Pelodiscus sinensis: one gene and its partner. Each later gene encodes a partner of the first gene's protein in a complex. Links are inferred from orthologs where the notes say so. Each region holds a gene or a part of one and is shown on either strand. Other genes may lie near its edges.

The links.
Region 2: PARD3 (region 1) and PRKCZ share a complex: the UniProt entries of both Homo sapiens proteins name them as parts of the par polarity complex. The link is inferred for Pelodiscus sinensis from reciprocal best matches to the Homo sapiens genes PARD3 and PRKCZ.

Annotation. Positions count from the first base shown.
Region 1 is NC_134712.1:231,792,156-231,807,049, reverse strand, and holds the start of PARD3 (partitioning defective 3 homolog), read left to right. Parts: upstream 1-8,849; 5' UTR 8,850-9,249; coding exon 9,250-9,369; intron 9,370-14,894. UniProt on the Homo sapiens protein: Adapter protein involved in asymmetrical cell division and cell polarization processes. Seems to play a central role in the formation of epithelial tight junctions. Targets the phosphatase PTEN to cell junctions.
Region 2 is NC_134733.1:18,757,536-18,772,612, forward strand, and holds the start of PRKCZ (protein kinase C zeta type), read left to right. Parts: upstream 1-8,168; 5' UTR 8,169-8,291; intron 8,292-8,387; exon of another isoform or gene 8,388-8,528; intron 8,529-9,140; exon of another isoform or gene 9,141-9,184; intron 9,185-9,779; 5' UTR 9,780-9,942; coding exon 9,943-10,013; intron 10,014-15,077. UniProt on the Homo sapiens protein: Calcium- and diacylglycerol-independent serine/threonine-protein kinase that functions in phosphatidylinositol 3-kinase (PI3K) pathway and mitogen-activated protein (MAP) kinase cascade, and is involved in NF-kappa-B activation, mitogenic signaling, cell proliferation, cell polarity, inflammatory response and maintenance of long-term potentiation (LTP).

The DNA of each region.
Region 1 (14,894 bases):
TTTCTTTGACATTATCAGATTTTACTTATCTAAGTGCTGTACTAGTCTATTTTCAATGAGACTCCTAATCAGGTTTCCTGGGATTGAGGTAAGGTTTTCAGGTTTCCTGGCTCCTTTTCTGAAAATAGACAGTAGCTTGGCAGTTTTCCAGTTTTTGGAAACAGTTAAGGCTATATTGTTGATCCATATCAGCACTATTTCACTCCTTATTTCTTTTACTTCTCTGTGATAAATAACATCCTGTCCTGGTGATGTACTGCTCTTGAATTCCTCAGGCTGATGCATAACTTTTGTTTCATGGTATTAGTAGTAGCAAGGCTAAGTTTTTAAACAAGAAAAATGAATTTCACAAAATGCGATTTAAACTTTTATATTTCTTTAAGGGTGTGTCTAGACAGTGGTACTATTTCAAGACAGTTCCACTATCCCCAAACAGCATTTTCCATGCCCATTAATTTGAAATATCTTCTGAAACAATGGATGTGCTATTCTGATGTAAACCTCATTCCACAATGATTAAGGGACATTTCAGAATAGCAGTTTATTTCAAAATTAACTTGAAATAAGCTACGCAATGTGCATAGCTCAAACTGCATAGCTTATTTAGAGCTACGGGAGCAGTGTAAATGCACCCTAAGTGAATAATCATCAAACGGAATGTCAAATTAATACCCAGAGCAGATGCCATCAGAATAATGACATCTGGATTCGTATTGGACACCTGTGAGAGTTTGTGGCAAATCACAAAAAAAAATCCTTGTTGGTAATGTGTTCCCTACCAGTAGGACACTAGCCATAAGATCGATAGAGCTAATCTTCCAACATATCTATTTTGTTTGTGGGATCGATTAGGCCTTCTTGGCCCTCTGCTGGAGATATTGGAGTCCCGATACCCTCCCCACAGACCACGTTTACTGCAAGTTAGTCCTCCAGATACCTAGAAACCCTAGAGGAAATTCTGACTAATCAAGAGCCAGAAGGACAATTAAAAATGGTTGTCTACATCTCAGGGCAGAGCAGTGTGAGAGTGGGATAGACTGTTTCCACCTCTTCAATAGTCTAAAACACAGGCCCTGCACTCATGCACTGCATAAAAGCATTTGACTTTGAGTGTTGTTTTGTGTCTGTATTTAAAGGAACAGAGTGCTGAGGTTTGTGTTTGTTATTGAGTAGCTGGTATAGTCTGAAGCCAAGCTAATAGCTACAGCCCATGGATTGAGGTAAGAAGTGCCTGCAGTACCACACTTTGGCCCTTGAGGGGTTACTATAAAGCAGACACATCTGCCTCAATGTGTATTATTAAATCTAGGCCAAATTCTGTCCTCAGAGAGGCATATAGAGCCCCTGCTGAAAACAGTGGGAATTCGGAAGTGTGTTTGTGTATCTAAGGGAAGAATTTGTTCCTATACCATGTCAATAAATTTTCCCATTTTAAAATGACAGTCGTTACAATTCAGGAGGTATCAACTGTGTGATCTGTTCCCAAACTGTTAACTCTGCCTGAAGTGCCTGCTATGTTAGACTCTCATTTACTCCATGTGAAACAAATTAAAACCTGAGTGAAGACTCTCTTTTTGGCAGTGAGCATTAGGTCCATAGTTGTGTGTACTGTATTCTATTCCACAGACAAGTGTACTGATTTTGTTCATTACAAAAGTTCATGTCAGAAACTTAGAAAAACAAAGGGAGAAAAGATCTTACATTTTGATTGCATTCACACTGCTTCTCTTGAAACATACACCTTCATGAAACTGAAATGATGCACACATGTACTGAGATACTGCACTTAAATTTCACCAAGTATAACCTGATTTTAAGCCAATTCAGAGTTTAAGAATTAGCACAGATTGATATATACTAGAACCTCAGTTACAAACATCATAAGAAAAGAAAATGTTTGCAACTCTGAACAAAATCTGTGGTTGTTCAAAAGTTTACAATGGAACATTGACTTACAGCTTTGCAAATTTACTATGCAGAAGTTAAATGCTGTTTTTTTACCATCTTAATGAAACAAGCAAAAATATAGTTTCCTTACCTTGGTCAAATCTTTAAAGTTTCCCTTTATTTTTAGCAGTTTACATTTAACACAGTACTGCATTATACAGTATTTGCCCTTTTTAAAAATTGTTTTGGCTGCCTGATTGCATACTTCTGGTTCCAGATGAAGGGGGCAGTTTACCAGTGAGTCCATAACTCTGGTATTCGTAACTCTGAGGTTCTACTGTATGATAAAACACTGCACTTGCATTGTGGTAACTGTAGCTTGTTCTGTTTATTGTCAAAGTCTTTGTGCTCTGTAAAATGAAGACGTATTTACCATATATGACAAGTTGTCACAGAGCTTAGCTCAGCACAGGGAGTCTCCTATTTCACTTCATTCTTCTCTTTACTGCATTTCAGCAGCTGCAAATACATTTAAGGAAGACAAGATGAAGGAGAGCAGAAAAGGAGGTAGAAGATGGAAGGAGAAATGGGAAAAGGTGTGATAAGGACAATTAAAGATGGAAAGGGGAGGAGGAAGAAGAGAGGATGAGAGAAAAAATTACAGAAGAAAGGATATAAAGAAAAATAAGATGAAGAAAAGAATGAAGTTGGGTGTCTCCTTTCCCTCTTTTCATTAGTTCTTAGTTAATCTTTTCTTCTGATTTGGCCCCAAAACTGTTTTGATGGTAGTGTGAGCATCCACTATTCCTCCTCAGTGGGAGTTGTAGATGATCAGCAACTCTGAAAGATGGCTATGGTGTGCTTCCATAGCTTTTCCGAGTGTATGGAAGTAATTCAACAGTTGTGCTGTGGCATCATTCAAGGTAGCTGTGCATGTCCTAGTCACACTTCTGACAAGGAGTTCTAGTAAACCCATACTTTGTTTATTCTTTCTCTTTAGCTACTTTTATGTTTATAATATAGAAAATTAATTTTGCAGGCATTTCAGAATTTTGCCTTGGAGCAAATATTCATGCAGCAGTGGTGGTATAAAAGGAGTGAAAATGGCCAAGCTAATGCATCTAAATAAACTTGTAACATGGGTGTAGGTTTTCTGATAATACATTTGTATATGTAATTCTTCATATTCCTATGAAACCCCGAAAGCCCCCATTCTCTTTCTTCCAGTCTGTGAGGCCCCATGTTGTAGCCACCAAATTTCAACCGGTGAAGACCTTGATGGAATCCCTTTCATATCCTACCAATGCTGCTCTTTAATGAGCCAGAGAGTTCATTGATGAACGTCACAATATATCCTTTCATTTTTTAATCCAAGAAAGAAATGAATGGAACCAGAAGTTTAACTAGAATCCCTGGCAGTTCAGATTAGTACCAGCAGAGAGATACAACCTAATAGTTGTATAAAACCTGTACATAATTTGTGAGGTGGAATACACATACTGTGATGTTGCACTCAATGTTCTTTATTGAAATATGCTTCTGAGTAAGACACAACTTGAACATGCTTTATGCAAAATACTTCATGTAACACATTATTCAAAAAGTTATATTCTGCTGAATGTATATATTTTATTTCTGTGCATATATCATTCCTGAATTTGAAGTTATATATATGTTTTGTATACATATACAAGTAACTTTACCCATTGATGAACCGTTCCTAAATACTGTTTACTATCATACTATTAGTTATATGTTCCTTGGGATTAGGCAATGTTTTATTAACTGTAATAAGTAACAGGAAGTGGTCTCTAAGCCATTTGACATTATATTGTTTTGTGTCCATTTCTCAAGAAAACAAAAATGACACATCTCTTGCAAATCTATATCTACATACACGGTACATGAGTTCTTGGACATTCCTGTTTTAGACTACAAACCTGCAAAGACTTGTGCAGGTGCTTTATTAATGCACTGAGCAGTCTCACTAAAATCAGTGGGACTACTCTAAGAGCATAAACTTAAGCAAATGGACAAGTTAGCAGAACTGGGGCCTAAGCATAATATTTTAGAAAGCACCTAAGTGGCTCTGGGCACATCTACTCTCTGATTCAAAATCCCATGGCACTGTGTCTGAGTGTAGCTCACTTTGACTCAGGTTGATGGGGCTTGGCTCCAGGACTATAAAACTGCAGTATAGACTAGGGATGTTAAATATCGGTTAATTGAAGAGTCAAGTAACCTCGTGAATTCTTATTGGTTAGTCAACTACTCTATAGTACCCGGGGGCAGGGTTGGCAGCCAGTGCACTCCGGCCCCACTACCGAGGAGCACCCTGCCATTCCTTGCTGCTGCCTCTGTATCATCTTCCCTCTCTTTCCCAGTGCAGATAGGCAGAAGGAGCAGGGAGCTCTGAGCCTTGGTGGTGCGCCCAGCCTGATTGAAAGGCTTGATGGATCAGATCTGGATCCCCATTCTGTCTGACGTGGCACAGAGACTTGATACTGCTCCCAAGTGAGTGACTTCAGTGCTGGGCTCTAGGGTACCGAGCTGGGTCTTTCTCAATCTCTGCTATTGAAGCTGCTCCCCTTTGTATAATATTTATTAGAGAAGAAACTGCAGTCTGGGTTTCCCAGTGGGACATAGCATCTCTCTCTCTCTCTCTTTAGTTTAATTCAAGGAATATTTAGAAAGTGCCTACAAAGCAGAACAGCTTCAACAGGTTTTTCATGAAAAAGGGCTGACTAACTTAGACACCTACTTCCAGAGGGTGTTCATGCCTGTGAATCCCAACTGGAGGGAGGCACCTCTCTGCAGCCCAGAGCTAGGCACTTAACACCATTGGCTGTGTGGGGGAAGGTGGTTTTCCTTATCCTCAGCATTTCCTGCTTAGGTGGCTCTGTGCTCAGTGTGCTGGCTTTTGTGAATTCCATTCGCAGGTGCCTAATTCTTCCTATGCATTATGATAGCATTGTACTGGCTGCCTGGGTACCACATGCAGGGCCATGGATTCCACTGTTCTTTATTACCATAGTGCTTAGGAGCCCTAGTCTTGGACCAGGACTCCATTGTGGTAGGTGTTATCCATACACAGAATAAAAACACTGCTCCAAAGGGCTTGCAATCCAGGCAGCCTAAACGTTAGGTGTTATACTTAACATATTAAGTCCCCAGTGGGTGAGACTTGGCTCCGGAGTCTCTAAGTCCCTTTTGAAAGTAGGATTTGGTTTCTATGTCACTTAAGGTACAAATTTCAAAAGCACCTAAGTCCACAAAGTGCTGGACCTGGTGTGTGCAGGAAATGGAAGGAAGCCAAGCTGCCCCATCCCCCTTCCTGACCACAGGCTCCTGGGCCATGGCTGTAGCAATGCTCCACTGGGATGGCTGCAGGACGCCCCTGCAGGAAAGTGCCCACTGTGTAGGAAACAGATGGCCTTGCTCAAAACAAATTGCCATAGTCTGAACTGAGACCTTCAGTGTCAGCTCAGAGTTTAGGGCTAGGCTTCATGCACAGTGTCTCCTGGGATGAGTGCTCCTGTAACTTTTCTTCACAGCTGGGCCAGCTGTGAGTGTGGCACATCCACCACCTCCCACACCATCTTCTCAGCTCTGTGGGATCCACTGCAAAAAGTGCACCAGGGAAGACCTGCTGCAGGACCAGATAGCCTGCCTCCAGTCCCTCATATGGGGGTTCAATGAGGAGTGCTGGGAGCAGACTGCCAACTGTGAGGCAAGCCGGGTTGACCAGAAGCAGCTGATGCACCAGTATGAGGCCATGTCTTCCTCCATGACCTCTGTCATGAAGCGCATGACTGTGCATGGAGTGGGTCACCAGTGAGCTCCTTGCTCCCCTCTCCACCCAACTCTCCTGCCCCCATCCCCGCCTCTTGTCTTCTCCTCCTAGCCCTCCGAAGGGCCACTGAACACATGGTGATGGGACTTCTTGGGCAGCGCAAGAGAGACAGCAGTCCCAACACCATCCCTGAGCCACCTTTAGCAGGAATCACTCCCTACCAAGCAGACCAATATTGTCTCGTTCCTTATACTCCCATATTTGTCTATATCAAACTGCTTGGGGAAGGGATTAGCTTCTGGTTCTGAGTTTGTACAGCTCTTCCCACAATGGCTTCTTGATCCAAGACTAGGGCTCCTAGACACTAGGACAGAGATGGTCAATCTAGGCTAGCAAGTGGGCCACATAAATGGCCCTCTTTTATCTGAGTGGGCTGCAAGAATGTTGTAAGCAAGCTACCCTCCTGGAAACAGGGTAGTTTTGCTCACTGCACTTGCATGCCTAGAATTTGCAAAAGCTTTCGTGGGCAAAGACCCACTTCGTCAGATGCATGTAGTGGAAATTTCCAGAGGCAGGTATAAATATGCAGGCCAGAATCAGGCTGGAGATGACGATATGGATCCAATCACCTGCCTGATTCTGGCCTGCATATTTATACCTGACTCTGGAAATTTCCACTATATGCATCTGATAAAGTGGGTCTTTGCCCACAAAAGCTTATGCTCCTACACTTCAGTTAGTCTATAAGGTGCTACAGGAGTCCTCACCGCTTTTGCAGATTCAGACTAACACAGCTACCCCTCTGATACTAGAATTTGCAGTGTCCCAAATGAACCATAGCAGTGCTTTGATTGGATATAGAGAGTGCATGACTCTCACTGTTAATGTTGTGTACAGTCAGTGGGCACCTCACTTCATGTGCCCTTGCTTTATATGTCATTTTAGTAATGTTACTTTAGTAAAACTGGCAGGAAAAAATGATGTGGATGGAACCCAGCAAAATCTGACAACCCTGTGCATGGGTAATGGTAAAAAAAAAATGTTTTGCAGGACACATACACAACCCTGATGGGCCACATGCAGTCCTAAGGCCATCACTGCACTAAGGTAAGAGACTTAATAATCACTATCAGGTCACCTACATTTTATGGAAAATTTTTGGTGACAAATTCTTTTTAATATGTGGTTACAATCAAATAAGTTCTGGCTTGTTTCCCTCTCCTCTCAAAGCAGAAGAGTCTAATTACACCGAGGTTAATTTTAAGCAATGAATCTTTGTGAATAGTAGTACAAAAGATTGCAAGTAACTCCTCTTTCTTCACTCCTCTTTAATCTAAACCCAGTTAAGTAGAACTGCGCATAGTTTCCTAATGCATAGGGATGAAATCCTGGTTCCATTGAAGTAAATGATGAAATTCCCATTGACTTCAATGGGTCAGGATTACACCCTAGATGTCTGTAGAATAACTAACAGAGTCCTTTCAATATTGCACATCTCAAGAGTTCTGATTGTGCACTACTTAATCACATATAACTCTGTTGTCTGTATAAGGTTTGGGATATCTAAACTTACTAGAACTATAGTCCCCAGTCTTGGAAGAGATGACTAAACCATACTGTCTTCTGAGATTAACTGAGTTTCGCATCATGTTACTATGTGAAACCTCCAGAAAACATCTTAAAACCAAGATCCTGTTTGTTCTTTGTAGACATAAAGTATAATTTTACTGTTTTTTAAAAGCACTGTGTGGTTCCATGTTTAAGTAAAACAAATGTGTGTTTTTTCTGATTGCCTGTCCTGAAAATTTAGCCCTCATTCAGCAAATCAATTTGGATGCTTTCTGTCTTATGCGCCACCATCCAGTATAAAGATTCTGCAAGCGAAGTAGAACAATTACTGACAAATGTGCAAGTTCATTTTCTTCTAATTCTGCTACCAGTGACATTTATAACACCCATTCAATTCAGTGGGGCTGTAACTGCAATTCTACTGATGTTATAAACGCTAGGATATACTCCAGTTTACTTGTCATACTGCATTGACTCTGCTCAGCTAACAAGAATAAAATGATCAAGGCTATCCTTTTGAAGAACATCTAGATTTGAGGCAGCAAAGTGTGTATGGTGACACTGTGAAAACACCAGGTAGGAGACTGGTTCATTTCTCCATGTACAGCTGTAAAAGGGGATATGTTTCTAACCAACTAAGTTCCTTGGGGTTCAGGATCCTCTATTTCTCAGTCACCATGATTGAGAACAGCCTTAGGGTGCTGGAAGACTCTGCTCAGTCAACAGAAAAGTATGGTTGATGAGCCACAAGGGGGGAATTTGTGGGGATGTAGAATCCAGAAAAGACCCCTGGGGCCAGAAAAAGAGAATTTCTATCACTGGTTCTTTCCATCCCCACACCTCTAGGATCCAAGGTAGTGGACACCCATTAAAATCAGTAGGAGTCTGCCCACACTGATCCAGTGTTTGTGTGGCTTTGCAGTAAGTAGATGCTCCTGTGCATTATTCTTTCTGCTTACCAGCCTGCTGCACTTGTTTCCTCCTGGTATAGTCCAAGTCCTCTGCAGAGAGTTGCCAATGCCCCTGCCAGCAGATAACACCCACAGAGATGCAGGAAGTAGCCAGATACACTCAGGTCAGGTGTCCCAGCTTTTCTTTCAAGGACAAGGGCTGGGAAATTGTGTAAAATTAAAGAGTGAGATTCTGCTACACTCAGGTGCCTCCAGGAGCCAGGCCCTGGGCAGAGGCCAGTAGCGTGGGGCAGCACGCCCCTACCTGGACAAAAGAAGCCCTGGACATTTTAAAGCACCCTTTGGAAAATGCTAGGGGCGCCTGCGGGCGGTGGGGGGTTTACAACCTTCCCCCGCCAAGGGCAAGGATGGGCGATCAAAGTGGGCCCCTTTACCGCTAGGCTGGGCTTCCTCTCTCCCGATGGCCGGGGGCAGCAGTACCCCTTCCCCGGGGCGGGCTGGGAGGTCTGGGCTACGCAGGGTCCCCGACACGGCTGCGGGGCCGTCCGCTCTGCTTCCTTCAGAGCCCATAGGCGAGCGCAGTGTAAACAGCAGCACATGGGCCCCCTCCCTTCCCCTGGGCCTCCTTCCCGGGCTCGGCCCCACCACCCTCCCTCCGCCCCTGGGCATGTGGCAGGAGGCGCAGCCCCACACCCGCTGGCTGGGCTGGGGGAGGGCCGGGGCCCAGAGGCAGAGCGAGCGGCAATGCCCTGCGCGGCCATAGCGGGGAGACAGCGCGGCCCTTCCCCCGCCGCCCGGGCGTGAGCAGCCGCCGCCGCCGCGCTGCGCGCAGGAGGAGACGCGGAACAGGTGGCCAGAGGCAGCAGCGAGCGCTGGCACCGCCCCGGCGGCGGCCGAGCATGTGAGCGGGAAGCCCGCAGCCCGGGACTCGGCCGGTCCGCTGCAGCAGCTGCCGCCTTCCCTCGGCGCGGGCTCCTGCCCGGGGCTGGCGGCTGGCCCGGGGCGCAGAGCCAGGCGCGCCCGGAGCTGGGGGCCGAGCGCGGGCGGGGAGCGTGTGGGGGCCGCAGGCAGCCGGGCGGCCGGGGCAGGATGAAAGTCACCGTGTGCTTCGGGCGGACCCGGGTGGTCGTGCCCTGCGGGGACGGCAACATGAAAGTTTTCAGCCTCATCCAGCAAGCGGTGACCAGGTACAAGAAGGCGATCGCCAAGGTGAGGGTGCGCGCCCGGGGCAGCGAGCGGGGGACGGCGCAGGAAGAGGGCGCCTGGGATCAATATGGCGCTTCCTGGAAAGGGGGAGGGAGGGGATGAAAGGGGAAAAGTGCAGGCTGCTCGGCTGGGGAGAGACGTGGGCACGGGCTGGAGGGGCCCGGCCTCCGCAGCCCCCCTCCCCGAGGGCGAGAGTTGGTGGGTGCGAGATCCAGAGAAGGAAGAAGCGCGGGGAGTTTGGGCCAGAGGCGCTGCTGCTCCTGGGTGCAGCGATCTAGTTTTCCTGACAGTGAAGTTTAAAGCGCTGCTGGGCTGCCCGGCCCGGCCCTGGGGGCAGGGAGCGTGTGTCTGTGTGAAAGGAGTTGCTAACTGAACATGGCTTCTTTGTAACCCAGCTGGGGAGCTGAGATTTACCCTTTAGCGAGATACAGTCGCAGACGTGTGTTTTGGGGCCTGAGCTCTTTGTTACTATTTTGTAACGAGCAAACGAGTCTCTTGTAGGTGTGATTGTAAAAGGGCTGGGGGATCTCTCCCTCTAGCTCTTTCTCTCTCTGTGGTGTTCCTATTAGTTGCGTACACCCCAAGTGCCCTGGGTCCATACAAACTGGGGTATTGGCTGTCACTTGGAGGGTTACATCTTGTTACTTTAATTGTCGCGGAAAAGACTGTGTAACAGCGTGCTATAGCTTTTGTTACATCTTCAAAGCTTGGTGTTTGAAACAGATAAAGATATAAATCCCCAAAAGTAGGTCTCCTTTACAATGATTTCTCTTTGCTGGGCAGTAGTTACTGCAAAGAATTCAAATCCAGCCCCAGGCTTCCCAGCTGCTCCAGGCCCAGGAAGAAAAAAAACAGTGAAATGTGGGGAGTTGACAAAACAGCAGGCATTTAATGTTTATATCTGAAAAAGTTATATGTCTCTTGGACTGCCAGAAAAGGGGAAAGGTACTACAGAGAGGATTGTCTGGAGAATTTTTTTTTTTAAAGGATGGGTTAAAAGAGTGTTCTGTTGGATTGTTTGCTAGGACAATCACTTCATGACAAGTCAGTGCACTCTTCTCTGTGTCAGAAATTCTCATGTCAACACAGAGAATCATTTACTTTTCCAGTTACTCTGAAAGAAGTTTACAGTGTAGGGAGCCTTTGTGCTGGAAATATGTTAATTGCATTTATCTTTGGAAACGTAATTGATTTCTTTCTTTTTGGTGATGTTAATTATAATTACAGCTTGTCTGAATAATAATAGAGAGGTAGCTGTGTTAGTCTGGTCTTGCTAAAACAAAAGAAAAAAAACATGTAGCACTTTAAAGACTAACAAGATAGTTTAATACATGATGAGCTTTCGTGGGCCAGACCCACTTTCTCAGATCATATTCTGGAAGAGAATTGGCATGACCATGGTATATATGGTAATGCCAGTTCTCTTCCAGAATATGATCTGAGGAAGTGAGTCTGGCCCACGAAAGCTCGTGACATATTAAACCAACTTGTTAGTCATTAAAGTGCTACATAGTTTTTCCTTTTGTTTTAACTTGTCTGAACGCTTTCTGCGTAGAGTTGGTGCATGACTACATGTACATAGTTATTTACAAATAATTGTATCTTCCATTCTGTAGTCACTTAGAATATTTTATTTTTTTGCTGCAAAACATGTTTTTAAATTTCTGACTAACATTTGCCAGGCCAATCTGAAAAAGACCAGTAGATTAATGAAATTCCATCTGGTGCTTCCTACTCCCCCAGCTTTGCTCAAGTAGTTGGGTATGACTTATTTTTTTACCTTTATGATTTTTGTTTTGTTTCAGTTGAGAATTTTTTACTTCAGGACTCTCTGAAATTGCACCAAGCAATTAGAAGTTTGAAGTCTGCTTGCCTTAGCATTAGTAGGTTGGAAATACTGTGTCAGGTTGTGAGTGGGGTGGTGTTTTTTTCCAATGAGAACCTGTGGCTGGTGTCCAGGGAAAGGGAAACCAAAGTTTCCATTTTTTTGTTTCCTTTTTTTCCAGAATTTTTTGAGACAATCACTACATCTTAGTATATTGTGTAACATCACACAACATTGACTAGTGAAATGTTTCACTGAAAGAAGTCAAGATGCCAACTGCAGTTATTTTGACAGCTTCATTAAAGTGCATAACATTTCATATGCACAGAAATGACCATGTCCCAAAGTACTCTTACAACTGAGAGTGCTACTTACTTAAACGGGACTATACTTGACAGTAAATATTTGTATGATTGGTCCCTAAATCTTACAATATTAATATAATCTAGTGATGATAAATCTATGGTTTCCAGGCTGTAGTCTCTGAATATCTGTCTCGTCATAGTGCACTGGATCACATTCCTGTTTCCAGCTGTTAAATTGCATTAAAGACAGCTACAAACACATTCCTAATATATTTCCATGTGAACAAATTGCAGTATGTGTAACAGTGAAGTTATGTGAGAATGAGTGGAGAGGATGGTTGCTTGTATGCTTGCAAATGGCGGGGAGGGGTCCATGACAAAAGCTCTGTTATGTAGCCACATTATGAAAAAAAAAATTAGAAACCTCTGAAATGTGATATATTGGCAGGTGAACGTCGTAAAGATAATTTTCAAGATTACAGTTTTGCTTGCTCCTAGCCTTCAGAACTTTTGATCTTGGGTTTTATAAAGGACCCGTTGGCTTTAAATTTCATTTTTATTTTGTGTACTGTATTTTGCATGGATTAAGCTTTGTTGCAGTTGGGGTTAGAATGGTGTTAATTACAATGAGAAGGCTTCTACTATATGCAAATCTTGTGAAAACAGTTATCTACCCCAACTAAGATCACAGTGATGATTCCATGAGTACCACTATAAATAAGTATAGATAAATTTTACCAAATATTTTCCAAGTAATAACTGTGGCTTTTCATAATATGGAAATAGCGAGGGATGTAATTTCAGGTTTTTATGGTTAGTGCCCCACCTTTCTAGTGTGATTAGGTGGTCTCTTTTTATTGGAGTCCAAGAGCTGTACGGCTCTTTGCTTCTTAGAAAAGGATGTATATATTAAATATTTGAGAGATCAACTGTAGTTTTTAAATTTATTTTTATCATCATTTTGATAACATTTGGCATTTTTCTGAGTCTTCCAAAATGTATTACTTCTGCATCAATTATAGCCTCATGTAGGAAACTAAAAATCTGATAGAAATGTTCTAACACTAACATGAAAATGTGGGCCCCAACCCTACAAAAATGTATGTACCTGTTTAATTTAGCATATTGTGAGTAGTCCCAGTGACTTCAGTAGAGCTTCTTGGAGATTGAAGGATCAGAACAACACTGAGCTTAGCTCTCCCATCCCACAATTTTCAGTTTTTGACTAGCAGCAGATGCTCTAAATCAAGACTGTTTTTAGGTGCTTATACAATGCTAGCTCTCTACATTAGCATTTTTTTTAGGACTGTCAATTGATGTGCGTTAACACCTCTGATTAACTCAGCCCAGGATTAACACGTTAACTTTTTTTAACGTGTTAATTGTGGGCGTTAATGCTGCGCTGCCCCTTTTGGGGACTCCAACTGATCTTGGGCTCCTGTGGCTTTGAAATGCTGTTATTGCGTTTCAAAGGGGCAGCTGAACTGAGCCCGGGGTCAGCTGAGGGCCCCAGCTGATCCCGGGCTTGTGCAGCGCTGCGCCTTTGAAACGCCGCCGCAGCGTTAATTTTTTAATTGCTTGACTGTCCTAATTTTTTTATTTGCACAGTGTGCATGAAGTTATTCTAGCACAAAGGACTCAATTTGGAATTGTGTGCAAATGTGTTTCCAAAATATTGAAAGTATATAACTTAATCTTTGACCTTTATTTTAATTTTCTTTTTCTCACTTAGAATTATTTGAATTGAATTGACGTGGTGGGAGTGGAAACAATACCTGTTTAACAGGAAATAAATTAGGGTCAGAGACAAAATGCTCGCTGTTTTAAAAAAAAATTAAATAACATACGCATAACACATTTCATTTTTGCCTTTTATCATTCTGTAGTTGCATGTGATAATTAGGAATGAGTCAATCAGTCCCTTTTATTTTTGATGGTAAATCATTGCCATTTTAGATGCAAAATCTCTCTCTATTAAAGATGGTTTAACTTGTTAGTATGGTAGACTGCATCCCCCTGTCAATGTGATGGAAAGTCCAAACATTTTTTTGGAAGCTTTATTACAAGTATTCTTTCTTTTTTTGATATTCCAATAAAGGCTGTGTAGTTGAAATATGAACAGTAAGCCTTTTTCTCTACAACTTGAAAACAAACAAACAAAAGCCCATCCAATCAACCTGGTTGTCAGCATGATACATTCTTGAATTGTAGGCAGGGCTTACAATCCACTTGCCCAGGACAAGAAATCTTTTTTTTTTTTTTTGAGAATTCAGTCAGGCTTAGCAGAATCTAAGGCATTGTCTCCATTGGGACCAGACCCACTGTTATTGTAACATCAGTATAATTGACTGGTGTACCCCATAATGAAGAAACTCTCACTGGTATTAACTACTATGACTTGCATCAATGCATTTTACCCTTGCTAGTGGGTGATGCGTAAATTTTCAAAACCTGCTTAAGGGGAATGCAGAAGTTGTATAGTTCTCCTCACAAAATTATATGAATGTCTTGGAGATTGAAAAGTTACAGAAGGTTGCAATCAGAATGTGATGAAGGGACTTGCAGGCTTTGAATTATGAAAAGAAAAAGAAGACTTGGCCTATATAACTGAATAATAAGGACCTGAGAGCCAGAGTACTGTACATTGAGAGTGTATATGATTATGAAAGGAAATGCATATATTGATGCCAATAAACTTTTTGACATACTAACTAGATTAAAATACATATTATAAAGAGAGGCACACGCAACTGAACAATTCAAATTGCATAACTTCACCAAAAGATTGACTTAAATACACAAGATGTTGAAATTTGTCTGAGAAGTTAGGAATATGTTTGTAAGAAGCTGGTACATAGATTCTCATCTGAAAGGGAGCAGATCTGTTTTATCTTTAGTTTACAGTGATTTTGGTATAAGATGGCAATTTCTATTTTTATTTCCAATTTCTACTGACTTGGTCCTTGAATTTCGTCAGTGTTTGAAAAATATAAAGAACATAAAGTTTGCAATAAAAAGGAGATAATGCACAGTTATTCTGAAGGTGAAAATGATGGAAAGAAGTGTATGTGTTGATTGTTTTCTTAACATCTATTATGTGTGTGTGTGTGACTGGATATGTAGATGTGCAGAACAAATGAGAAGTTTAATATATTTAATTGAGAGTGTTGAGAGAAACAAAGCCAAGCCAGTGGCCAGAGACAAGTAGTAGTTAGGGCAGGGGTCTGCATCCTTTTCAAACCAAAGAGCCAAACTACATCCAAATTCAGAACAAGTGGTCACCAAAGAGCCATGTAAGAATGCCCATCTGCATGACTGAAAATATACAACTTAATATTATTGATAATTGACATAATGATTAATAATAGTATAAATGAAAAATTGTACCCAGACTTTAT
Region 2 (15,077 bases), on another chromosome or scaffold:
GGGAAGAGCTTCAAAAGGATCTCACAAAACTAGGTGACTGGGCAACAAAATGGCACATATGTTTTAATATTGATCAAAAGTGAGGTAATGCATATGGGAAAACATAATCCCAACTAGTTCATAATTCAAAATGATCTAGACAAAGTAGAGAAATGGTCAGAGGTAAACAGGATGAAGTTTAATAAGGACAAATGCAAAGTGCTCCACTTAGGAAGGAACAATCTGTTCCACCCATACAGAATGGGAAGTGTCTGTCTAGGAAGGATAGTGCAGGAAGAGATTTAGGGGTCATAGTGGACCACAAGCTAAATATGAGCCAACAGTGTGACACTGTTGCAAAAAAAATGCATTAACAGGAGTGTTGTGAGCAAGATACGAGAAGTCATTCTTCCGTTCTACTCTGCACTGATTACACCTCAACTGGAGTACCGTGTCCAATTCTGGGCACCACATTTCAAGAATGTTGTGGAGAAATTGGAGAAGGTCCAGCGAAGAGCAGCAAAAATGATTAAAGGTCTAGAAACCATGAGCTATGAGGCAAGGCTGAAGTAATTGGTCTTATTGAGTTTGGGAAAAAAGACTGAGGGGGGACGTAACGGTTTTCAGGTATCTAAAGGGGTGTCAGAGGGAGGAGGGGGGAAATTATTTTTCTCGGCATCTGAGCAATGGGCTTAAACTGCAGCAAGGGAGATTTAGGTTGGACATTAGAAAAAACTTCCTAACTGTCAGGGTGGTTAAACTCTAGAATAAATTGCCTAGGGAGGTTGTGGAATCTCCATCACTAAAGATATTTAAGAGCAGGTTAGACAGACCTCTATCGGGGATATAGACCAGTGGTCCCCAACCTTTTGGGGATGCCAGGCACCCAGGGTGGGAGACCGCGCATCCGCCGGGGCCTGGGGTGCAAGAATGGCTCGGGCTGGCCCTGGTCACTAGGTGGGCACACACAAATGCCGCACCGCGTTGGGGACCACTGATATAGATCATGCTTGGTCCTGCCATGAGGACAGAGAACTGGATTTGATGATCTCTCGAGGTCCCTTCCAGTTCTAATATTCTATTATCTCTATGGGTACATCTACACAGCATCCTAAACTTGGAATAAGATACGCAAATTGTGTCCTATTTCAAATCTTTTTCGAAATAGGTTATTTTGAAATTTGGCATGTCTACACAGTGCCAAATTTCAAAATAACATGCTATTTCGAGACATCCCTTAACCCTTGTGGAATAAGGGTTACTAGAATGCTGAAATAGCATACCCGTTATTTCGAAAAATATTTCAAAATAACGGGTGGCTGGTATAAATATGGATCAGCTATTTCGGGATCTCTCCGAGATCCCGAAATAGCTGTGCAGTGTAGACATACCCTTAGATATCTGATATCTATACATATAAAATGACGGGGACTAAATTAGTTGGTACCACTCAAGAGAGAAATCTTGACATCATTGTGGATAGTTCTCTGAAAACATCTACTCAATGTGCAGTGGCTGTCAAAAAAGCAAACAATGTTAGGAATCGTTTTTTAAAAAAAGGGATAGGGAATAAGACAGAAAATCTTATTGCCTCTATATAAATCCACTGTACACCCACATCTTGAATTCTGCGTACAGATGCAGTCACCTCATCTCCAAAAAGATATATTGGCATTGGAAAAGGTTCAGAAAAGGGCAATAAAAATGATTAGGGGTTTGCAATGTCTGCCATGTGAGGAGAGATTAATAAAACGGGAACTTTTTAGCTTAGAAAAGAGTAGACTAAGGTGGGGTATGAGAGAGGTCTATAAACTCATGACCGATATGGGGAAAGCAGATAAGGAAATATCCTTTACTTGCTCTCATAACACAAAGATCTAGGGGTTACCAAATAAAATTAATAGGTAGCAGATTTAAAACAAACAAGAGGAAGTATTTCTTCATGTAACACACAGTCAACCTGTAGAATTCCCTGCCAGAAGATGTTGTGAAGACCAGGACTTAAACGGGGTTCAAAAAAGAACCAATATTAGATCCATCAATGGCATCCTTAGCCTCTGCTTGTCAGAAACTGGGAATGGGTGATGGGGAGAGATCACTTGATGATTACCTGTTCTGAGTATTCCCTCTGGGGCACCTGATATTGGCCACTGTTAGAAGACAGGATACTGGGCTAGATGGACCTCTGGTTGGTCCTAGTATGGCTGTTCTTGTGTTCAGTGTCTTCTGTGGAAATCCAGGAAGAACAGCCCTGTACCAGAGTAAGATATGATCATGCACGCTTGCAGAACTCCCTACTTCCCAGTACAAGAATGTGGATTAATGCCATTTATTTACCCCCAAAGCAGTTCATTTGCATCTCCCAATAAACTATTTTGTAAAAAGAACACTGCTTGGTAGCCTGGGAACAACATTACAGTGAATGAAGCTATGAACATTAGGTATTCAGCTGTACTTTTCTCCCAAAGCAGTTCCTGGGATCATCTTGCCACCTACTGGAACTATGTAAATATACATTCCTACAGAAAGTTGTGCTTTTACACTTTTACAACAGGCATCATAAAATAACTCTCAAGCCACCACACCCTGAAACCAGTCCTCTGGATAGTGGTAGCACACAGCAGAAAACAATTATTTAACTTTGTGCCATAGGACAAATGCCCAATCCTGGGTTCTATATCTGGATATAAAATGTATGTCATTCAGGGCCAGATTCTGATCTCAATTACACCTGGGTAAACCCAAAGTAAATCACCTGAAGTCAATGGGATTGGTTCAGGTGTGTGTAATCTGGCACCTACTTTGACCTTCTATTTGCCAAGATTTCTCAGTCAAAACGTATAGCATCCTTTTAAGTAACAGGGGCCCAATCCAACTCAGTGAGACTTTACAATGGATTTCAGTAGTAGATGGATCAGGTTCTTGGTTAGAATAAACTTGGAAAAAAGTCTGAATTTCTTGAGTATTTGTTTTTTCTAATTTTTTTAGAACACTTCCTTCTCAATGGATGGGTGTGGATGGGCCTCACATGACTTATATAAGAAGTTCACACTAAGATCCACAAAACACAAAAGCATCCAATCTATAAATTTAGCCTTAGGAGCTGGCCAGCCTCCAGCTACCATCTCACAAGAAAGGAGATATCCTTTAGTTTTAAGTGTTAGAAACCACTGGTTTCAGTGCTGATATTGTTGTGTGTATATTCAATTACAATTCACTCCACAAGGAAGTGAATGCAGAATTGAAAATCCCCAGTCCTGCTGCTGATGCATGAACCAAATATACTCTCTTCTACTTCTACTGGTTTGGACAATAGCCACGTTTCGAACAACTTAAATATTTTCAAGGAATCATCCCCCCCCCCCCCCCCAAGGCACTTTGTACTCTGCTCTCAGGTATGGGGAAAAAAAACAGGATATTTTTCTCCCCAGTTTTTTTAAAATACAGGTTTAACCTTTACGTTTGGACTTATGTGGTCCAGCAACATCTGTGGTCTGATATCCCAGTGAGTAATCTGGGTCTGGAGTACTCATGCGAAAAGCTGGCCCCCATTCAGCAACTCTTACCCATCCCTCCCCCTCCCGAGCTTTTGGAGCATCACCATAAGCAGCACTCAAACTCAGGGAGGGAGGACAGGGAAGGAGTAGAGATGGGAGATGCTTGGGGGTAGAGGCGGGGTTGCTGAGAGGCTAAATGTGTTCTGGCTGGGCTGTGCTCCTAGCCCCTGGCCACAGGACTCCACAACTACCCTGCCTCTTCCTGCAAGTGGTCCCTCAACTCCCGCTTGGTCAATGCCAGCTCCTCTTGTTGTCTCCGGAGTAGAAACCGGCAGCAGCAAAGGGTCCAGCATTGACCTCCCCTGGTTCAGAATCAGTCATGTTTCAAGGGAAGTACAACCTGTAGTACCTCAACTTGAATATTTCCTTTCAATCTGACACAAATTAAAATAGCTGAGTTATAACCCTCTCAAAAATGGGGTTTAAATAGGGAAATTCTCAGTTCCTTAACCTCTAGTGAGCACTGGTTTAATAGCTGTCAGTTTATTAGGTTGAGGGTAAGTTAATGACAGATAAAAATGCAATAAATATACTGCAGCTGAAAAAAAAATTGTGCTCAGAAGCATAGTCAGGATTTCTGGCTCTATGCCACCAGAAGTTGGTTGTGTTTCAAAAACAATATGCCAGAGACAATGTCTTACAATATGTTATCCTTGCATTGCTGTTACAATCTTGTTAGTTAATCCATAGAGGAAAACTGACATCCTCTCCAAAAAGTGCCATCTGCTGACCTTTATTCCTTGAAATGGAGAGCATCAAAGCAGAAATGAATACATTTAAGAATATTGTAATATTAAGAAATATTAAAAATTAGGATATTTTTGTTAAAATGATTAAAGGGTAGGGAGTGACCCATAATGAAATGTTTATTTTATTCACGTTTTCTGACAAGTGATGTAAATGTACATAGAATTGCCTTATGAAAAAACTGTGCTGGAAAAAACCCAAAAGCTTAGCTTTAAAGAGTTCACAGCATCTTTTGTCTAAGCAACTTCTGTTGCTTCACAGGTTTAATTATTGATTTCCATGTTCTGAGAGGTAAGAATCATCTCAATTTCACAGATAGGAGAACTGAGACACAGAGAGATTTAAGGACCAGTTTTGAAACCATGACTCTCACTTAAGTGGGACTACCTGTGCATGTGTAGTCATTATTCTTGCTGACTGCTAATAATGCCTCTTTGGGGCTTGGGAAGGTTACATAGTGAATAAGCAGCAGAGTCATAAACAAAACTTTGGAGTCTCAACTCAATTTCCTATTTAACTGCTAGTCTACAAAAACAACAGACCCCCCCCCCCACCTCCTTTCCGGTAATATAATAATTACTATTTGATGTACAAAAGCACCTAAAAACTCCAGTAAGGGATCAGGGCCCAATTGTGCTTGGTTCTATACAAACATATCCAAAAGCTGGTCTATTCTCCAAAAGAGCATGTAATTTACATTTTGGACAACAATCAGTGGGTGGATGAAAAAGTAACAGTGAGATCATTATGATCAGTATGATAACCAGCACCCACACAGGTCACACAAACCAGTGCTTAATATGTATGCAATACTTTTTATCTTCAAAATGCAAACGATGACAGCACCAGTGAAAAAAGCAAGAACCCAGTAGTTCTGATACCTAATCTCATGCTCTAAGACTTAGAAAAGGTTGCAAACCTCCTGAGATAGTAAAGATGTTATTTTAGCTGATACTGGAAAAATCACTCACTTTGGAATCTAGATTCTGATCCTACTTTGAGATTTCTCTTTGTAAATGAGTTTATTAATTGGCTAGCAACCGATGCCTCTTACTTTTATTGAGGTACGTGGAAGCTTCTGCTGTTTCAAGAGTGCCTGGAAAATGACTACATAATGATTTAAATGTTTTATTGAAGACAGATTTAAAAGTATTTGTTAAAGGCCTAAAAATAAGAATGAAAACACTTACATTAAATAGTAGAATACCCTTGGCATGACCTACCATTGACATCAATGTCTTCTACTGAGAATGGTGCAGAATTAGCATTGTTTTTATGCTACACTGATTCAGGGGATAGACCCTATTTCTCACGGGCTTATAACCATATTGTCCCTACTGTTTCTATAGTACAGGCAGTCCCCGGGTTACGTACAAGATAGGGACTGTAGGTTTGTTCTTAAGTTGAATCTGTATGTAAGTCGGAACTGGCGTCCAGATTCAGCCGCTGCTGAAACTGATCAGTTTCAACAGTGGCTGAATCTGGACGCCAGTTCTGACTTACATACAGATTCAACTTAAGAACCCCAGGCATCCCCAAGTCAGCTGCTGCTGAAACTGATCAGTGGCAGATTCCAGGAAGCCCGGGGCAGGGGCTTCCTGTAGTCAGCCACTGGTCATTTTCAGCAGCTGCTGACTAGGGGACACCTGGGGCAGAGCAGCTGGGGTGCTGCTGGGTTGGTCCAGTGGCACCCAGAGCGGCGCTACGGGACCAACCGGCAGCGCCCCTGCTGCTGTACCACAGGCGTCCGGAGCAAAGCCGCGGAGCACGGGGGCAGCGGGACAGCCCAGACGCGCCGTGGCTATCCTGCTGCCCTCGGGCTCCGTGGCTTTGCTCTGCTTTGCTCCCCGTCCCCCTGGTCTGCAGACCAGGGGGATGGGGAACAAAGCGGCGGAACACGCAGGCAGCGGGACAGCCCAGACGCGCCGTGGCTATCCTGCTGCCCTCGGGCTCCGCGGCTTTGCTCTGCTCCCCGTCCCCCAGGTCTGCAGACCAGGGGGAGGGGGAGCAGAGTAGAGCAGAGCGGCGGAACCCGCGGCCAGCTGACAGCCCAGACACGTCTGGGCTGTCAGCTGGTCGCGTGCTCCGCTCTGCTTCCCCCCCCCCCATGGTTTGCAGACCAGGGGGAGGGGGAGCAGAGCGGAGCAGAGCAGAGCGCAGAACGTGCGGCCAGCTGACAGCCCAGACGCATCTGGGCTGTCAGCTGGCCTCGTGCTCCGCTCTGCTCCCCCCCCACCCTGCAGATCAGGGGGAGGGGGAGCAGAGCGGAGCACAGCAGAGCGGCGGAACGCGCGGCCAGCTGGCCGCGTGCTCCGCTCTGCTCCCCCTCCCCCTGGTCTGCAGACCAGGGGGAGGGGGAGCAGAGCAGAGCGGAGCAGAGCAGAGCGGCAGAACGCGCGGCCAGCTGACAGCCCAGAAGCGTCTGGGCTGTCAGCTGGCTGTGCGTTCCGCCGCTCTGCTCTGCTCCGCTCTGCTCCCCCTCCCCCTGGTCTGCAGAGGGGGGGGGGAGCAGAGCGGAGCGCGCGGCCAGCTGACAGCCCAGACGCGTCTGGGCTGTCAGCTGGCCGCGCGTTCCACCGCCGCTTTGCTTCCTCTCCCTGGTCTGCTCGAGACCAGGGAGAGGAAGTGCCCCGTTCGTAACTGCGGATCCGACGTAAGTCGGATCCGCGTAACTCGGGGACTGCCTGTAGATTCTAACTGAGAATGTAAAAGAGGCTTGACAATGTAAATGGCCCACACTTCCACTTCCAGTTGTGGGTTAGTTGATGATGGGTAAATTGCAGAACAGAAATCAGGCAGGGGTGGGAAAAATACATCCAATGGGCTGTATCTGTCCCACCAAACATTCGTATACAGCCTGCCACAATACTCCAGATTGCCAATGTCCTGCAGCCCAGCAGGATACTCAGGCAGGCTCCCTGCCTGCTGCTCCACCAGATGCCATGCAAATTGGCCGGCTGCTGGGGCTAGTGCGTGTGTCTGCACCACGTGTGCCACTCTGGGGGAGGTGAGGTCTCCTGCCCCCACCACAATCCTCACAGCTCCCATTGGCTAATTTCCAGCCTGGGCCATGCTTGCAGGGGCATGCAGCATGAGGAGACTTTTTCCCTTCTTCCTCTGAAGGGGTGCACCAGGTAGATACACACACAATAGCCCCAGCAGTCAGCTGCTTTGAATGGCATGTGGGGGTGCAGGCAGGGAGCCTGCTGGAGGGTCCCCTTGGGTTGCTGGCCAGAAGCTGCCTACTGTAAGCATCTCCCAGGCAGAACCTGCACCTGGCACTCATCTCCACCCCGTCCTGCACCAGGTCCCAACCCAAACCCTCTACATGCCCTTCTCCACCCTAAACCCTACATCCTCTCCTGCACCCCAATCCCTTGTCCCAGGTCACAACACTCTTCATCCAAACTCCTCCTCCCCAATCCTCTACTTTGAGCTTTCCCCTGTACTCCCCCTCTATCCCAGACCCTGCACTTCCCCCACTAATATCACAGAAGAGTGAGCACCCTTGACCCCTTACCAAATTATTAGACTGGTGCCCCATCAAGAATTATTACCCACCCCCAGGTTAAGAGACATGCCTAAGGCCAATGGGAGGTGGCAGTGAGAATAGACCTGAGGCAGCCTTGCAGCCAGGACTCATCTCTGCTTGCCCCATCTATCCACCCCATTGCTGGAACAGGCACCCAGCCATCCTGCCCCCATCTCCTAAGAGACAGCCCCCCCCCCTCTCCCGCCACTGGCCGCAGCTGTCCATCCCCCCGCTCATATTTTATGATTGGCTGCCTCCTCTCCGCTCGCCAGGTAACGGATACCGCCCTCTGATTGGCCAGGCCCGGAGGTATGCCTGTGGGGACTGGTTTCAGGTGGGCGGCGCTTGCGATTGGTCGGCAGGTAGGGTGGGCGGCGCTCCATTGGCTGTCGGAGCCGTTAACCTGCTCAGTCCGCCATGTTCGGAGTAGCGGTGGCGCGGGAGCAGCGGGCGTTGCTTTCGTGCGCGGGTCGCCGGTGAGCCAGGCGCGAGGTGGAAAGCGGCGGGTGCTCTGGGATTCCGGGGGGTGCGCGCTGCTGCCGCCGCCTCAGGGGGATCTCGGGCGGGGGAGCTGAGTCCGACCCCCAACTTCCTGTCGGGACTTTGGGCAACTTCCAGCCTGAGGGCGGGGCGTGGGCGGGGTTAGGCTGAGGGGGGTGTCAAGACGGGAGCTGCACGCCTGAGGGGAACCACTTCGGCTGGCGCCACAGCAGGTAGGAGAGCGCCCCGCCCCCCCACCGGCCGCCTGGCCTGCGCGGGGACACCCTAGGGCCCCCCCAGCAGCACTGAACGCTCTGTGGGGGCAGCTACCGGGGAAAGCTCCCTCTGTGGAGCGGGGAACCCCGCGAGGGGCAGGCGCGCTGCGCCCGGCTCCTGCTTGCAGTGACCCCAGTGCCCTGAGGCGGGACGCAAGGACCCTAGGCGCCGCTGCAGACCGGCTGGTGGGACCCAGGCTGTAACAGATCAAGCTGGGGCGCAATGACGCCCATCCTCAAAGACGGGTGAATCCAGTAGCTTGTGCGCCCCCCGCCCCCCAACTATTACAAAGGGGAAGCTGGATCTTCAGATTATTAAGCAGGCTCCTAATTTGCTCCCCCCCCATCCCTAAAAGAAGGCCAGCATGCTGCTGAAACCTTTCCTTTACAGACATAAAGGTCTGAGAGTCAGGTTAGTCTGAAACTTTTAAAAACAGCAAGTAGCCCTGTGACACTTTCTAAAGTAACAAGAATATTGGTGTAGTTAGTATGAGCTTTCTTGGGCATTCTTCTCAGGAAGTGGGTTTTGCCTGGGAAAGCAAAGTCTGTATGTTTTTGTTCATCTCTAAGGTGCCACAGGACTGCTCCTTGTCTTCCTTAGAAACACAGTGAAGGTTGGTGTCAGATTCTGCAGTGTTTTTTCCCATAGGGGGAAATGAAAAGCTTCTGTGTGGCATGAAAAATATGAGACTAGCAGAAGAATGAGTAAACAACTTTTATTGCAAATGAAGTATCCCTTCCTTTCTACAGTCTCCTAAAAAGTGTTTGTACTGCAATATTTTTTGCCTTAAGTGGAAATACAAGAAGTTTTATTAGGAAACTTTAAAAAAGTTTCAGCACTTGAATCCTAGTCTTGTCAAGTGTGGAAACAGTGTTCTGACTGTTGGTAGCTTATCTGAGCTTCTCTTAACATGAATGATTTCATAAAATTAACTGCCCTATTATTTTTTGCCAGTGCTATTTTCTTTAATTCTCATCCCTGTGCTTATTAAACACTTTTAAAAGCACCTGTAAAGTTAAAGCAAGAGTGCAACAAAAATAAAAACTAACATGTTTTTGCAGGACCAGGGTCTTATAATTAGTGAGTAACACCTAACCGTACCCACAAAATACCATAGAAATTGGGGCATCAGTGATAGAATTACATCTGTGTTTTAACATGTTCTTTTTAAATTTGTTAACGCTCTATTTTTCTTTTTGTGTCTGTAGGTGGACTGGATATCATTTTGGGGGCAAAAAGCCTATACACATTACTTGCTACTTCATTAGACCTTAGCATAACATTAGTGATTATTTTTGACAACACTTTGGGTTTGGAGGATCGTCTTTATGCCCATAATGTGTTTGTTGTTTAGACTTCTATATTAGTATCATGCCTAGCAGAATGGGATCAAAAATGAATCTGAACAGAGACGTCATCAGAGTAAAAACACATTATAATGGGTAAGTCATACGTACAGTCCTTTCAATGCTGCTTAAGTTTATCCTGTACAGACTAACTCGGCTACCCCCTGAAGCTTCATATGTGGTTTGTCACTTTAGTTAGCAGCAAATAATAGTCTGTGAAATCATTAAGTAATTAAGTAACCAAACAATGTTTGTAAATTTACTTGGATGTTAAAATGTTAATTTTTTTATTCCTAAATCTTTATAAACTAGTGATATGCTCTGGCTTGTTTTTGGTTTCTAACCAAATCTGTGTTGAAACAGAAGTGTTTGATGTATTTGCTGATTCAGTATGAAGATTAGTAAACAATGTAGTGTGTTAAAGTACATTTGCTGCGCCTGGATTTAAATTGGTTTTCCTTAGGCCCTGGTCCTGCAATGAATTCTGCATTGGCAGACTGAGTTGAGTGCTGATGTCCACCTGCATAGTTTGGAAATGGATGAATCCTGGGAGAAATTTGGGACAGAAATTGTTTGGTTTTCTGCAGCATCTGTCACAAAAAGGTCCTAATACTAGTTAGCACTTTCAGTGCTACTGTAATTCAAATAGGTTATAGCTGCTATTACACTTGCACAATTAGAGGCATCATTTCTGTGGCTAAAATTGTAGACTGTGCCAGCAAATGCTGCTGTTTAGCTTATTGATTGTTTTTTTTTTTTTTTTCCCTCCCCAAACCACTTTAAGGAAAACTCAAAGATTGTCAGAGAAATATTTACCTATTGTGGTAAAAAGGTGTTTGGATTTTAAACGCAAGTTATCAGTAAATCCAGGTAACAATATTTACCTAATGTGTAGTAGGTTTGGTTATTAAAAATGAAATTTAGAATTCCAGTTCACCTTTCACAATGTGGTTGGCTTACATTGAGTAAAATACAAAAATCAAATAGTTGCAGTTACATCCATTATGTTCACTTCTGTTTATAGACTCTTTCATTTTCTGGCAATTTTAATAGCAGGTTGCTTTTGTTGCTTGGTTCCCAATATTATAGGGAATGATTGTTTTAAATTCAATTTAAAACAATATAAGAATAATTCTATCTTTTTTGAATAAAAACCAGGACTATATAGCACTTTAAAGACTAACAAGATGGCTTATTAGGTGATGAGCTTTCATGGGCCAGACCCACTTCCTCAGATCAAATAGTGGAGGAAAATTGGCATGACCAAAGGATACCATCAAAAAAATGAACACATATGAAAAGGACAAATCAAATTTCAGAACAGAAGGGGGAATGGGGGGAGGGGAGGTAAATGTCTGTGAGCTAATGATATTAGAGGTGGTGATTGAGGATGCTATCTTTGTAATGGATAAGGTAATTAGTGTCTTTGTTAAGACCTAGGTGTAAAGTGTCAAATTTAAGCATGAATGACAGTTCAGAGGATTCTCTTTCAAGTCTGGTGTTAAAATGTCTTTGAAGCAGGATGCAGGTAATCAAGTCATTGAGACCATGCCCTTTCTGGTTGAAATGGCAAGAAACTTGTTTTTCTTTGTGATCCTGTCTAATATCTGTTTTGTGGGCATTGATTCTTTGGCGAAGTGTCAGACATTTGTCCAATGTACATAGCAGACGGACACTTTTGGCACATGATAGCGTAAATTATATTTCTGGATGAGCAGGCATATGTGCTCTTGATCTTATAACTCAATTGGTTAGGTCCAATAATGGGCGTCAGCAGAGTGAATATGTGGACAAAGCTGGCAACAGGGTTTGTTGCAAGGAAAAGTTCCAGGGTTGGTATTGGTGTGGTATGTCCTGTGGTTGTTGGTAAGAATCATCTTGAGGTTAGGTGGTTGTCTATAGGAGACTATGGGTATGTCTCCCAGAGCCTCTCTAGTTTAGTATCCTGTTCCAGTATAGATTGTAGTTTATTGATAATGTGTTGGACAGGTTTAAGTTGGGGGCTGTAGGTGATGACAAGTGGTGTTCTATTGTTGGTTTTCTTGGGTCTGTTTTGAAGTAGATGGTTTCTAATCCTCTGAACATTCATGCTTAAATCTGACACTTTACACCTAGGTCTTAACAAAGACACTAACTTACCTATTACAAAGATAGCTTCCCCAATTATCACCTCTAATATCATTAGCTCACAGACATTTACCTCCCCCCTCACCATCCTCCTTCTTTTCTGAAATTTGATTTGTCCTTTTCATATGTGTTCATTTTTTTTGATTGTATCCTTTGGTCATGCCAATTTTCCTCCACTATTTGATCTGAGGAAGTGGGTCTGGCCCACGAAAGCTCATCACCTAATAAACCATCATGTTAGTCTTTAAAGTGCTACATAGTCCTGTTTTTTGTTTCAGCTACACCAGACTAACACGACTACATTTCTATCACTATTCTATCTAGTTTGGTATCCCATTCCCTCCTTTTTTTAAAAAAACAATTGGGCTTAAAAGTAATTGATAGTAACTTTATAATTTAGACTTGAGGTTTGGCTCTTTTCCTCATATGCTAAAAATATGTTGATCTAGAGTGTGGTCATTGTCAGCAATTTGTTATGTAGCATAGCCATATTGGGTTTTTTTTCCTCCATAAGAAACTTTGTTTAGTACAGGGTGAACCTCTCTAATCTGGTGCACTCTGATCCAACACAATTTTAGTTAAGTGGACATCCAGCTATCGTGGGTATAACCAAGTTTTCTGCAGTCTCATGAAGTTTGTTACAGCCACCGGTCCTGGCTGTCAGTGTTCTGTACTGTTGTTTAGCTCTAATTTACCTCTAAATGTCTTCTAAGACTCCAGTAAGCAATGGAAGTGTTGGTAATGCTGCTAGATAATATTGACCTCCCATGGTCCAGCAAATTCTCTGGTTTGGCACTTGTCAAGTCCTGTGGGTGCCAGACTAGAGAGGTTCAACCTGTAACAGTTGGAAAGAGGATGACAACCTGGATGACGATTTGAGTCCTTAAACTGTGAAAGGGAATAATAGTACATTTCTTAAACCTGGTCTTCACTATGAGGGGCAATGTATCTAAGTTAAGCTACATGAATAATGTAGCTGAAGTTGGCGTATTTAGCTCTTCTTGCCACAGTTTCTTCACTGTGGTGTTTGCTTACCTTTCTCAGCTTGATGGAGCATCAAAGATGATGCCAGAGCTATTGGCAATGAATTTATCAACTTGCTAAACGGACCCGCAATGGATCGATTGCTGCCCCGTTGATCTGGCTGGTAATTGAAACAGAATCTAAAATAGGGATGTTAGTGTGTAATGGAATAGTCCTGTAACTGCAACAAATTTTAGTGGTTCCAGATAGGGATGTAAGCGACTAGTCCTTCTATTGGAGGAAGCAAGAACCAGTGCTGGAGAGATTCCTGGCTTAAGCCCAGTCCCAGACGCTGTGCCTCTGCTTTCTAAATGTATTAAGAGTTGCTATGGCTCCCCCGCTTATCATCTAGTCGATGGAAAATCCACTGATTAGTCACTTAGTTGATTAAACTAAATTTAACATCCCTAGTCCTCGGGGCCCAGCAGCTAGTGTACTCTTGGCCCCCTTCTGGGAAGCCCCCTTCTACTCCACACTGCTACCTCTCTGTCAGAGACAGCAGTGTGGGGTGGCAGGTGGGAGCCAGATTAAGCTGTCTTACCCTGCGGTGCCCTCTTCTTCTCCCTCCCCCCCCCAGCATCAGCTCCTGCCTGCCCCTCCACTGCCTCTGTAGGAGGCAGCAAGGGAGCAGGCAGGTCTGCAGAGCCAGCTCCTATGCGTATTGTCTGTTGTCTGCTGCCTGCCCACCTCACCCTCTGTGCTGCTGCCTCTCTATCAGAGGCTGCAGCACGGGTATGGGGGGGGGGGGGGAGCAGGTGGATCTGGTGCTCGTGGGGAGCCAACTTAAAGCTGGCTTCCCCGCAGGTACCGTCTCCCTCCTCTCCCCCGCTTGCTGCAGGATTAACCAATAAGACCAGCCTTATTGGTGAATTGTATTGTCATCTACATGTTGACATTCCTAATCTAAACTAGGGCTGTGGCTTGACTACACTGATATAAACCCTCTACTGTTGCTGTTGTAATGCCAGGCCCAGTAAAAACAGTAGCTGGAGTAATGTACCTTAAGCTGAGCTTTGGTGCTGTCATCGCAGCAGGCAGTCAGTGGGAGAAATGGTCACGTTGACTTCCCTTACTCCTCACAACAAGTAGGAATTCTGGTGCTTACGGGGTCACCCTCATAGTTTGATTTAGCAGGTCTTTACTAAACAGTTAAATTGACGCTGGATGATTGACCCCTGCATCGTTGATCTCTCCCGTCAGCTTACACCATGCCTCTACATGTGGGAAGAAGTCTCTGGTAAAGTTCCTGATAATCTTTTCCATCCATGTGCAGATTTTTTCCATCCATGTATGGAATACACTTTTTTATGCTCACTGAGGCATGTGCAAATATGCACCACCAGAAGAAACAAATACAGCTGTGGGCACTCTGTCAATCAGCTGGGTGGCACATGACTCTAAGTGGCCCCTCAAGTGTACAGGTTATACTGGTCTCCAGTCAGCTTAACTATTCCCACCCCTGCAAGCAGTGGTAGCTGGGTAGGTAGGAGATAGTGCTGTCTACATCAGCGCTTAAATTGGAATACGTTGTGTTGCTCAGTGTCTGGCAAATTGACACCCCAGAGCAATATAATGTATTAAGCTATAATGTAGCCCTACCCTCATACTCAGCTCTGATGTGTGAGTAGGATTGGCAAATGATGCCTTAAACAAAATGATGTGGTCCATGGATATATAGGGAAAGCTTTTGCTCCTGCAGTGAAATGTCACGTTGTGGTTAGAGCACGTAGACCAGAAGACAGCTCATGAATTGTAAAACTAGTCTTACCACTAACTCTCATTTTAACCCTGAACCGGTCACTTAACCTTCTTGATGTAGCCATTTGTAAAATGGAAATCTAGCAGAACCTCTCTAATTACACTTCATTACAAATCTGATAATTTGCACATAAAAATATTCTCAAATATTTAATGGGAGAGTGAGGCTTTATATTAAGTATCAGAGGGGTAGCTGTGTTAGTCTGAATCTGCAAAAGTGGTGAGGAGTCCTGTGGCACCTTATAGACTAAC